Linked DNA regions of Arabidopsis thaliana. The protein of the gene in region 1 binds, or shares a complex with, the protein of each later gene. Each region holds a gene or a part of one and is shown on either strand. Other genes may lie near its edges.

Region 1 (3,600 bases):
TTCTTTGTCTTGAAAAGAAGCACCTATTATGCTCTCTCCAAGATTGGCAATCTGGGAAGCTAGTACACATACAGCTGCTTCTGGAGGAGTTATCTGTGTTCAAGATATCAAAAGGAAAAGAAGTTTAAAAATCGTGTAATGATAACAGTCTTTAGTAGCATAAAGAAGCTGTGAAGGGAAATTTTGGTAGCAAATAACACTATTACCTGACCCAGGAAGCAGCCAACAGATGCAAGAAAAAATGATGCTAAAAGTCCAGCCAATGTTCCTTCAAGACTCATAGCTCCCTCTGTTCCTCTTGGTACAATCTTAAATGTCGTAGCTAAATACCTGCGAATTGGCAATGGTTAGTAAGATCATTTCAGTTGTCGATTGGATTCATGTCATGACACCACAAGTCCATGCCATACATCAGACAGAAAACAGACACAGACCATAACAGAAGAGGCTATAGCTGGATAACAGTAGCATACTCACGTTGTTTTTCCATAAGCTTTGCCTATCTCGCTCGAGACAGTGTCAGATACTTTAGTGCAGAAACTGGAAACAAAACCAAGCCGGAAAAGCTGGGAAAAAGCTGCTCCTCCCACTTGATATATTGAAAGAAAAGCACAGACACAACCAGCAGCACTTGAACCAATCACACTGCGTGGTCCTCTTCTACCCTTTCTCTTTTCGGCCACACCTTGTGCTTCCTTTTGCGTCATTTTAACCTTCGTTGCCGCTGTTCCCTGTGATATTGTAAATCATCTAAACCAACTTCAGCGCCAGAATCAATTGCAAATTTACTGTTACTATTTCCAGCTCTGGGGTGAAACACGATATTGAAATCTAAAACTTAAAGCATTGCAGAGAAAAGACTAAGTATCTCAATGTTGAGCATGATCAGAAAAAGTAGCTCCTTAATCTGTAAACGTGATTTAGGATCTCTAACACGTCCACAATTCCTAAATTAAACAATAACACATCTAAAATCTAAGGACATTCTTCATTCATCAGCTCGAAATCAAAATCAAAGCAGCGAATTTCTACGTTCTAAGAGTCAGTTACCGAATTACATTCAGGTTGATCACAAATGCACTTACTATGACGAAGTAAGCAGCGACTAAGAGGAAACCAGCAGAGCCATAAGCTCTCCAAGTTAAAGTACCAAGCAAAAACGCGGCGGCGATCCCAGAAGCGGACAATCCGGTAACAAGAAGCGGTGAACCGAGAACAAAAATCAATAAATTGTTAGCCACAGCTGATTTCCAAGTTGGTGACGCCGATTGAATCAGTTTCATCGCCTCCGTCATCACTCCTTCCATCGATGCAGCCGCCGCCGTAGCACCGTCGGCTCTACTTCCCGACGAAAGCATTCCGTTGGAAAGTGGTTCCAGATTACGTCGTCCAAATCTGTAAGATCTAGCGAATGGAGAGGAAGAAGAAAATCCCGAGAATTTTGGGAATCTTAGTGGTAAAGCTGATCTAGAAGAATTTAAGAGTAGAGTTGACGAAATCGTTGCCATGACTTAGCTTGCTTCCGAAGAAGACCTTTCTCTCCTATTGAGAAAAAAAAAACAGTATTTCGGGTTGAATCCGGAGCTCCGAAAAAAACCCGGATCCTTAACCCGTGTTGTGTTTATTTTTCGGTCGTATTCATCAGATTATTTACGGTGTTGCCACTACTACTATTTACTGAGAACCCAATCTTATCCGAGAAATCGGAAAGAGCAGAAGAAATTTGCAGAAGAGAGAAAAACAAAAATGGCGGTTCTTTGCTCGTCTTCGACGGTGATACTCTCTTCTTCTTCCGTGAAATCCTCCGGAAGTGAGAGAAAGTCTCCGTTTTTAGGGTTCTCTTTAACGGCTATCTCGAAGCCGTCGGTACGAGTCGGCATTTATGCGAATTCGAAAAGAGGATTGCAAGTGAAGTGTGAAGCTGAGCCGACGACGACGACTTCTCTTGTTCCGGCGAATCAACGATGGATGTTCGACGAAGAAGAAGCTAATGGCCCTGTAACGATAATTTTTCTATCTCCCTCTGTGTTTAGCATCTACGCATTTATAAAGTGTCGCACTTTAGCTCTTGCTTTGAATTTGAAGTATGGCTTGTTTTTTTCTTCTCCCAATTGCGATTTATTAAGTAGTGGATTTTGCCTTTGACTCATTAGCTGTGTTGTCTGCATCAATTGGCTTCGAAAATTGATGTTTATTCTTCTGAATTTGTTAACTTGGACGTTTTATGAAATTATTAATGTTTGGTTGGAGAGAAGTTAAAAGTCTTTGGCTTGAAACCTTTATTGAGTGTATTCTATGGTTTACAGGACATCTGGAACACGACATGGTATCCAAAAGCTTCAGACCATGTGAACACGGACAAGCCCTGGTTTGTGGTTGATGCAACTGACAAAATTCTTGGTAGATTGGCATCGACAATTGCTAATCACATCCGTGGGAAGAATCTTGCCTCTTACACTCCTAGTGTCGACATGGGAGCTTTTGTGATTGTGGTATGAGTTTCTTTGAGCTATCTGTAGAGAATAAGAAATTTGATGTGCTGCTTTAGTTAATTTCTTCCTGAAGGAGGAGCCTTGGGATTTGGTTTTAGTAAGATTCACATTAGCAGCAAGATGTAGAGCCTCTATGTAGATGTTTGGGCAATGCTTGTAACTTGGTACCTCTAATACTGTTTTCAATTGTTTGGTTAAAGGTGAATGCTGAGAAAGTTGCTGTATCTGGAAAGAAGCGTAACCAAAAGCTGTACAGGAGGCATTCAGGACGACCTGGTGGTATGACAGTAGAGACATTTGATCAATTGCAGCAGAGAATTCCTGAAAGAATCGTTGAGCATGCTGTTCGTGGAATGCTTCCAAAGGGACGGGTTAGATACATAATCCACAGCTCTTTATTAGTCTCCTTTAAGTCTTAACACTTAGCAAATCCGTGTTTCTTCAAACTTATGGATTGAACTTGGAAACTACTTGTTGCGATATTGGTATTGATTGATTACTAGTTTTCCAACTCCCTCTTAACTTTGGTCTGACCATTTTGTGGCAGCTTGGGAGAGCTCTGTTCAATCACCTGAAGGTGTACAAAGGCCCTGACCATCCTCACGAGGCCCAGAAACCGCTTGATCTGCCTATCAGGGACAAGAGAATACAGCTGCAAAAATAGAAGCTCCACCACTGTTCCATTATCGCCAAGCGCAGAGAGTTTTTTCTTCTCAGGTTTCTGTAGTTTCTTCATCCCAAAACCAGAGGAGGCTTTACAGATTCTTGTTTTCGCTTCTATCAACTCTGTTATGCTACAAAACTTTCTAATTTGAAATATTTCTCGTTATTTTTTTTTGCTACTGAATATCTTCTTCAACATGAAAAAGATGACATGTAATGAATACAAATGCCATAAGCAACAGTAGTCACCATTAACAAAAACTTCCTCTTCAATTGGTAACAAACCTTCCCAATGAGATCACAGATGCAAGGAAAATCTAATATTCATGCCTTAATCGAGTCATTACTTAAAACTGAAATTTTTAATGCTGGATCCAAAATTTGAATGTTAAATATACATAATAATAGGAAATACAATTTGAATGTTTGGAATCGCTAACGACTA
Region 2 (4,470 bases), on another chromosome or scaffold:
GGACAATGTATGTAATTAGGACAAGTGATTACGCTAATAGGAGGATGTCTGTTCGAACTAAGAAGGAATAATTTCTTGTTTAACTTAGATTTTTATTACTTAAAAATATTGTTATTTCATTGGTCGGCCAACTATATCTATAAATATTATTAGATAAATAGAATGATGCAACAATGAGCTGGTGAAGCCAAGTCAAATCATCTCTCAATCAAACGTGCTTCACACCTAGATTTTTTCCATCATTTGTGTTTTTCTTCATCTTCTTTCTTCTTTTCCTTTTATAAATGCTTCACTTCTTCGATTATTTTTGTAATTAGTTTGTTCTATGAATGCTTTCAGCAAAAAAAAAGAAGAAGAAGAAGTCAATTTGATTAAAGATCTCACAAAAATAAGATGAGATATTATTGTTATATATGTATATAGCTTTTGCTCAATTGGTAAAGTATTTTGAGCTTTTTTATATATAGAAATAGAATATTAAACATATCAACGAATCATCATCATCTCTTCACATCCCTCTGTCTCTTTGTTTTCTCTATTGGCAAATTTTTCTTCTTTTCTTATAAACCCCTTACCGTAAGACCTAAGAAACACTATACATTATATGAACCCTAAAAAGAAAGATGGAGACAATAATAAACACCAAATTGAATTACCTGTAACGCAAGAAACGATTATTTATGTACACCAATTCTCCTAATTCCTATTCTTAATGGGAAAAAGTTTAAAACTCATCTTGACGAGTAAAGAGAGAAAGAGAGCTACATGGCTTTGAATTACAAAAGTAGATTTTACACCTGTTTGTCCTTTACTTTGGCCTATCTTGATCTCACTTCCACGCTCGAGCTTCTCCTTGTTTTCCGCTGGTTCTTGGTAGACCAAAGCAGTCGTTGTGGCGTCTTCATCCATACTTATCTCTTGACAGCCGTGCCACCGTTGTTACCGTTCTCTAGCTTCGGAATCAGACTTTCCACTGCTCATTTTCGTGTCTTTTGGACCAAAGGCTCTGACTAGCTCAGAGGCTATGGATCCAACCTCCACATCGTCTTCTTCTTCTGGCGACCAATCTCTGAAATTGATCAAAGGTGGTGGAATTTTTGCAAAGAATAGCTCCTTGAAGTTCTCTAAGATCCCCTTTCGGTAAGGGTTTTCCTTCTTGTCGTAATGGTACCGAAAATTCTCACAAGTCGTCTGCAAAACATAACAAGAGAATCAGACCAACAGTAAAAGCTACTTGGAAACTACGTTAAAAGCTAAAGAATCTTGCCTGGTTGGTGCAGATAAGGTAGAAGTGGAAGACAGTAAGTCCACCAACAAACCAAACGGAAACAAAGCAGTAGAGACCAAGAACACCTAATATTAAGTCATCAGCGAGAACAACATAGAATTCCCCATGGACTTTAAGCATGCTGACCCATGAGAAGACGAAAACGTAGATGCAGAGGAGTGTTGAACATGATAAGAAACAGACGAAGAATGGATAGTTACGCTGCAAAACAAAAGCCCGTAGATAACATATCAACTCATAGATCTTACTCAGTTCTTTGTCTAGGAAGTGAGAATTAATAGTAAGACTTACCAAGGCGATGCACTGACCAACCCAAGGACAGTGATGATCAAACCTTTGGACACAGTTATTGCAGATTGAGCAGTGAAAGGCACGAGGAGGACGATATAGCTGACAGGTATCGCAAAACTTCACTTTGACAGTGAAGCCATTCACCATTACATCTTTTGTTCGAGGTAGTTTCACACTTCCTAATTTGCTAGTCACCCATTCTGTCGATTGGGTGGTAACATCAGGAATCTCTGCCTCAGACACTTGTTTGTTCCTTGGGATAATCCCGGGGTCTCTCGATGATGTCAAGAAGAGAAAAGTGAAAGCCTAGATAAAAAGTAAGACGTAAGAAGATGCATGAATTTGGCTTAAGGTATGACTTGGCTTATGAAAGTAAGTAAATAGCAAAGCTTTATAGTTATACCATGAATGTGAGAAGAATTGCACCAATCAAAGTAAGAGAATGAAAGAAAGGGTGACGATGGCTTATCAAATAAGCCATCCTGATGGAGAAAGCGATAGCTGGCCCTCCTATCATACATGTGGTCAAAAGAAGTGACGATGCATCTGGACCAAACACTAGTCTTCCCCCACAGTAAAATTTCTGAAACACGAAAACAAATTGAGAAACTCCACTTCAGATGATGATTTCATATAGACAGAAGCTAGGATCTTGCTTTTGCTAAAATCATGTGTGAAACAATACACATAAAAATCTTAGACTATTTCCATTGAGAGAATCTTAAAAGCTCATGTTCTTCAAACTTTAGCACAGAGAGAAGCAGAGCATATATTAGTAACAAAATCAATTCCGAGCATCTTGAGGTATTTTCCTCATTCATGATTCTTATCTTCCAAAGTTAAAATCCTATAAAAATCCACAATGCGGTTTTAAAAATGTAAATTTGCTGTCAAATCATCAGAAGTCTTACATTTTTGGCGGGCCAAACTTGATAGATCCTTTGTCGTTCAAGATTCTGAGAAGACATAACGTTTTTCTTCGGGGAATGAAACTCAGAAATGTTATTCGCTTTGTTTCCAGTCTCAGAATCCGCGGCTAGACACGTCCTACAGCTCCATATCCAAGTTTCCTCAATTCACAGCCAAGCGAATGAAACCGGCGATATCCAAATCGTGCCGCCGATTGTGCGGATTTTGTTCTCCTTTCGTCTTCTGATTATGGTTTCTGTTTGATAGATTTGTTTCTTTCTCTCTCTCTCCCTTTCTCCATAGATTTGTCCTCCGCCATTGGAAGTTGCTCAAAACACCAACCAACATCATTCTCTGGAACAACCTTAACTTAGCCTTTCTCCCGCCAATCACACACTGGGACAGCCACGTGTCAACTCACAGTTCTATAAAAAGTACCCACTCCGGTTTATCTATTCAACCCGAATCAGGAAAAAGAAGCCGGTTCGTTTGATAATTTCTGTATTTAATTAAACCGGATTGAGCCGGATCAATCCAATCCGTTCGTTAAGAAGACACAGACAGAGAGAAGGAGAAAAAGCTTATCCACTATCAAATGAAAGTCTGAAGACAAATTCTTCCATTAGAAGAAGAAGATGGCTCTTCTCTGCTTCAATTCTCTCCCTTCTCTCTCTTCTCTTTCTTCTTCTTCTTCCTCGCGCCTTCTTCAATCTCCGTCTTTCGCTTCTCCAGGTAATGTCTTGTCACTCGTTTCTAGTCTTGACATTTCGCTTTTGCTTCGTTTTGTCGTGGAATTGTATCGGGAAAAAAAAAAAAACAATAGAGACCCATGGAACCAAATTGAAGCTCCTGGGCTAGTTCAATTTCTTGATTGTCCCAAAAAAGTGAAGTTTTGTTTTAGGGCAGTCAGGTTTTAAGCTTAAAGATCGAAGCATTTAATCGAACACTTGGTTTACTTGTAATGCTCTAATCTTTTGTGTTTCAGTTTTGAGCCTTAAACCCAACGCTGTCGAGTCCAAGAACAGAGTCTCTCTCAGTGCTTACAGCTTGAACTCTAGCCATGGAAGAATTGTGGTGAAGGCGGCTGCTTCTGGCGTGGACGGGGCTGAGCCTGAGAGCAAGGAGGAACCAAAGACTGTTGTTGCTGCTGTTCCAGTGGATAAACTACCGTTGGAATCGAAAGAAGCTAAAGAGAAACTGCTCTTGGAATTGAGGCTGAAGATGAAGCTGGCCAAAAAGATTAGGCTACGCAGGAAACGTCTGGTTCGTAAGCGTAAGATGAGGAAGAAGGGTCGATGGCCACCTTCCAAGATGAAGAAAAACAAGAATGTCTAAGTGACTCAACTGTTTGCTGCTTTTCGTATTCGTTTTTTGTAATGTTCTTTTTGGTGTTCAAAGACCATTAATGTACTTCAAATGCAACCATTGTTTTTGGATTTAACTTCAAAGCTGAGTTCTTTAAAGAAACCATTTGTATACAAAGAGTGAGCAGTCTACAAAATAGAACCAAAAAGTTTGAAACTTGCATTAAATTTGAACCATTTGGCTATTAAGGAAGAACATGTGAGCGGAAGATGAGAGGATAGGTGCAACAGAATCCGGTGCTCCAACACTGCAACAAGGTTTATTTGGAAGATTAATTAACTAACCGATTCTACCTGTATGAATACTTTGGCATGAAAAGAGACTTAATCAAGCATATGCCTTACCACAGAAAGGAGTGGACCTTGCTTGAACTTGTCATGGAATGAAAAGGAGAGAGCTTTCGGGTTTTCTCCAGGTCCTCTGATGAAACCGCTGTAATCATAAAAGCATCAGATTTTGTCTATCCATTTAGACAATGCAAAGATATACAAAAGGAGGTCAAGTCCGATGGAATGGATAACAGTAAGAGTTACTTACACTAGTGATGCTGATACAATAGGTGTCCTTCGTGTGTCGTAGATGGCAATCAATCCTTTGTAATTTTCATCGCCTCCTTT

What was found. The genes of interacting proteins can lie anywhere in the genome.
Region 2: emb1473 (region 1) and PSRP5 share a complex: the UniProt entries of both Arabidopsis thaliana proteins name them as parts of the 50S ribosomal subunit.

What each region holds. Positions count from the first base shown.
Region 1 is NC_003070.9:29,574,251-29,577,850, forward strand, and holds the start of emb1473 (Ribosomal protein L13 family protein), read left to right. Parts: upstream 1-1,555; 5' UTR 1,556-1,746; coding exon 1,747-1,998; intron 1,999-2,306; coding exon 2,307-2,492; intron 2,493-2,692; coding exon 2,693-2,863; intron 2,864-3,039; coding exon 3,040-3,156; 3' UTR 3,157-3,600. Other genes in the region: AT1G78620 (integral membrane protein (Protein of unknown function DUF92, transmembrane)), read right to left, coding at 1-93, 207-330, 478-731, 1,059-1,508.
Region 2 is NC_003074.8:21,068,911-21,073,380, reverse strand, and holds PSRP5 (plastid-specific 50S ribosomal protein 5), read left to right. Parts: upstream 1-3,024; 5' UTR 3,025-3,123; coding exon 3,124-3,220; intron 3,221-3,473; coding exon 3,474-3,823; 3' UTR 3,824-3,970; downstream 3,971-4,470. Other genes in the region: AT3G56920 (DHHC-type zinc finger family protein), read right to left, coding at 940-1,191, 1,268-1,489, 1,580-1,885, 1,983-2,162, 2,491-2,547; AT3G56900 (Transducin/WD40 repeat-like superfamily protein), read right to left, coding at 4,038-4,100, 4,198-4,285, 4,391-4,470.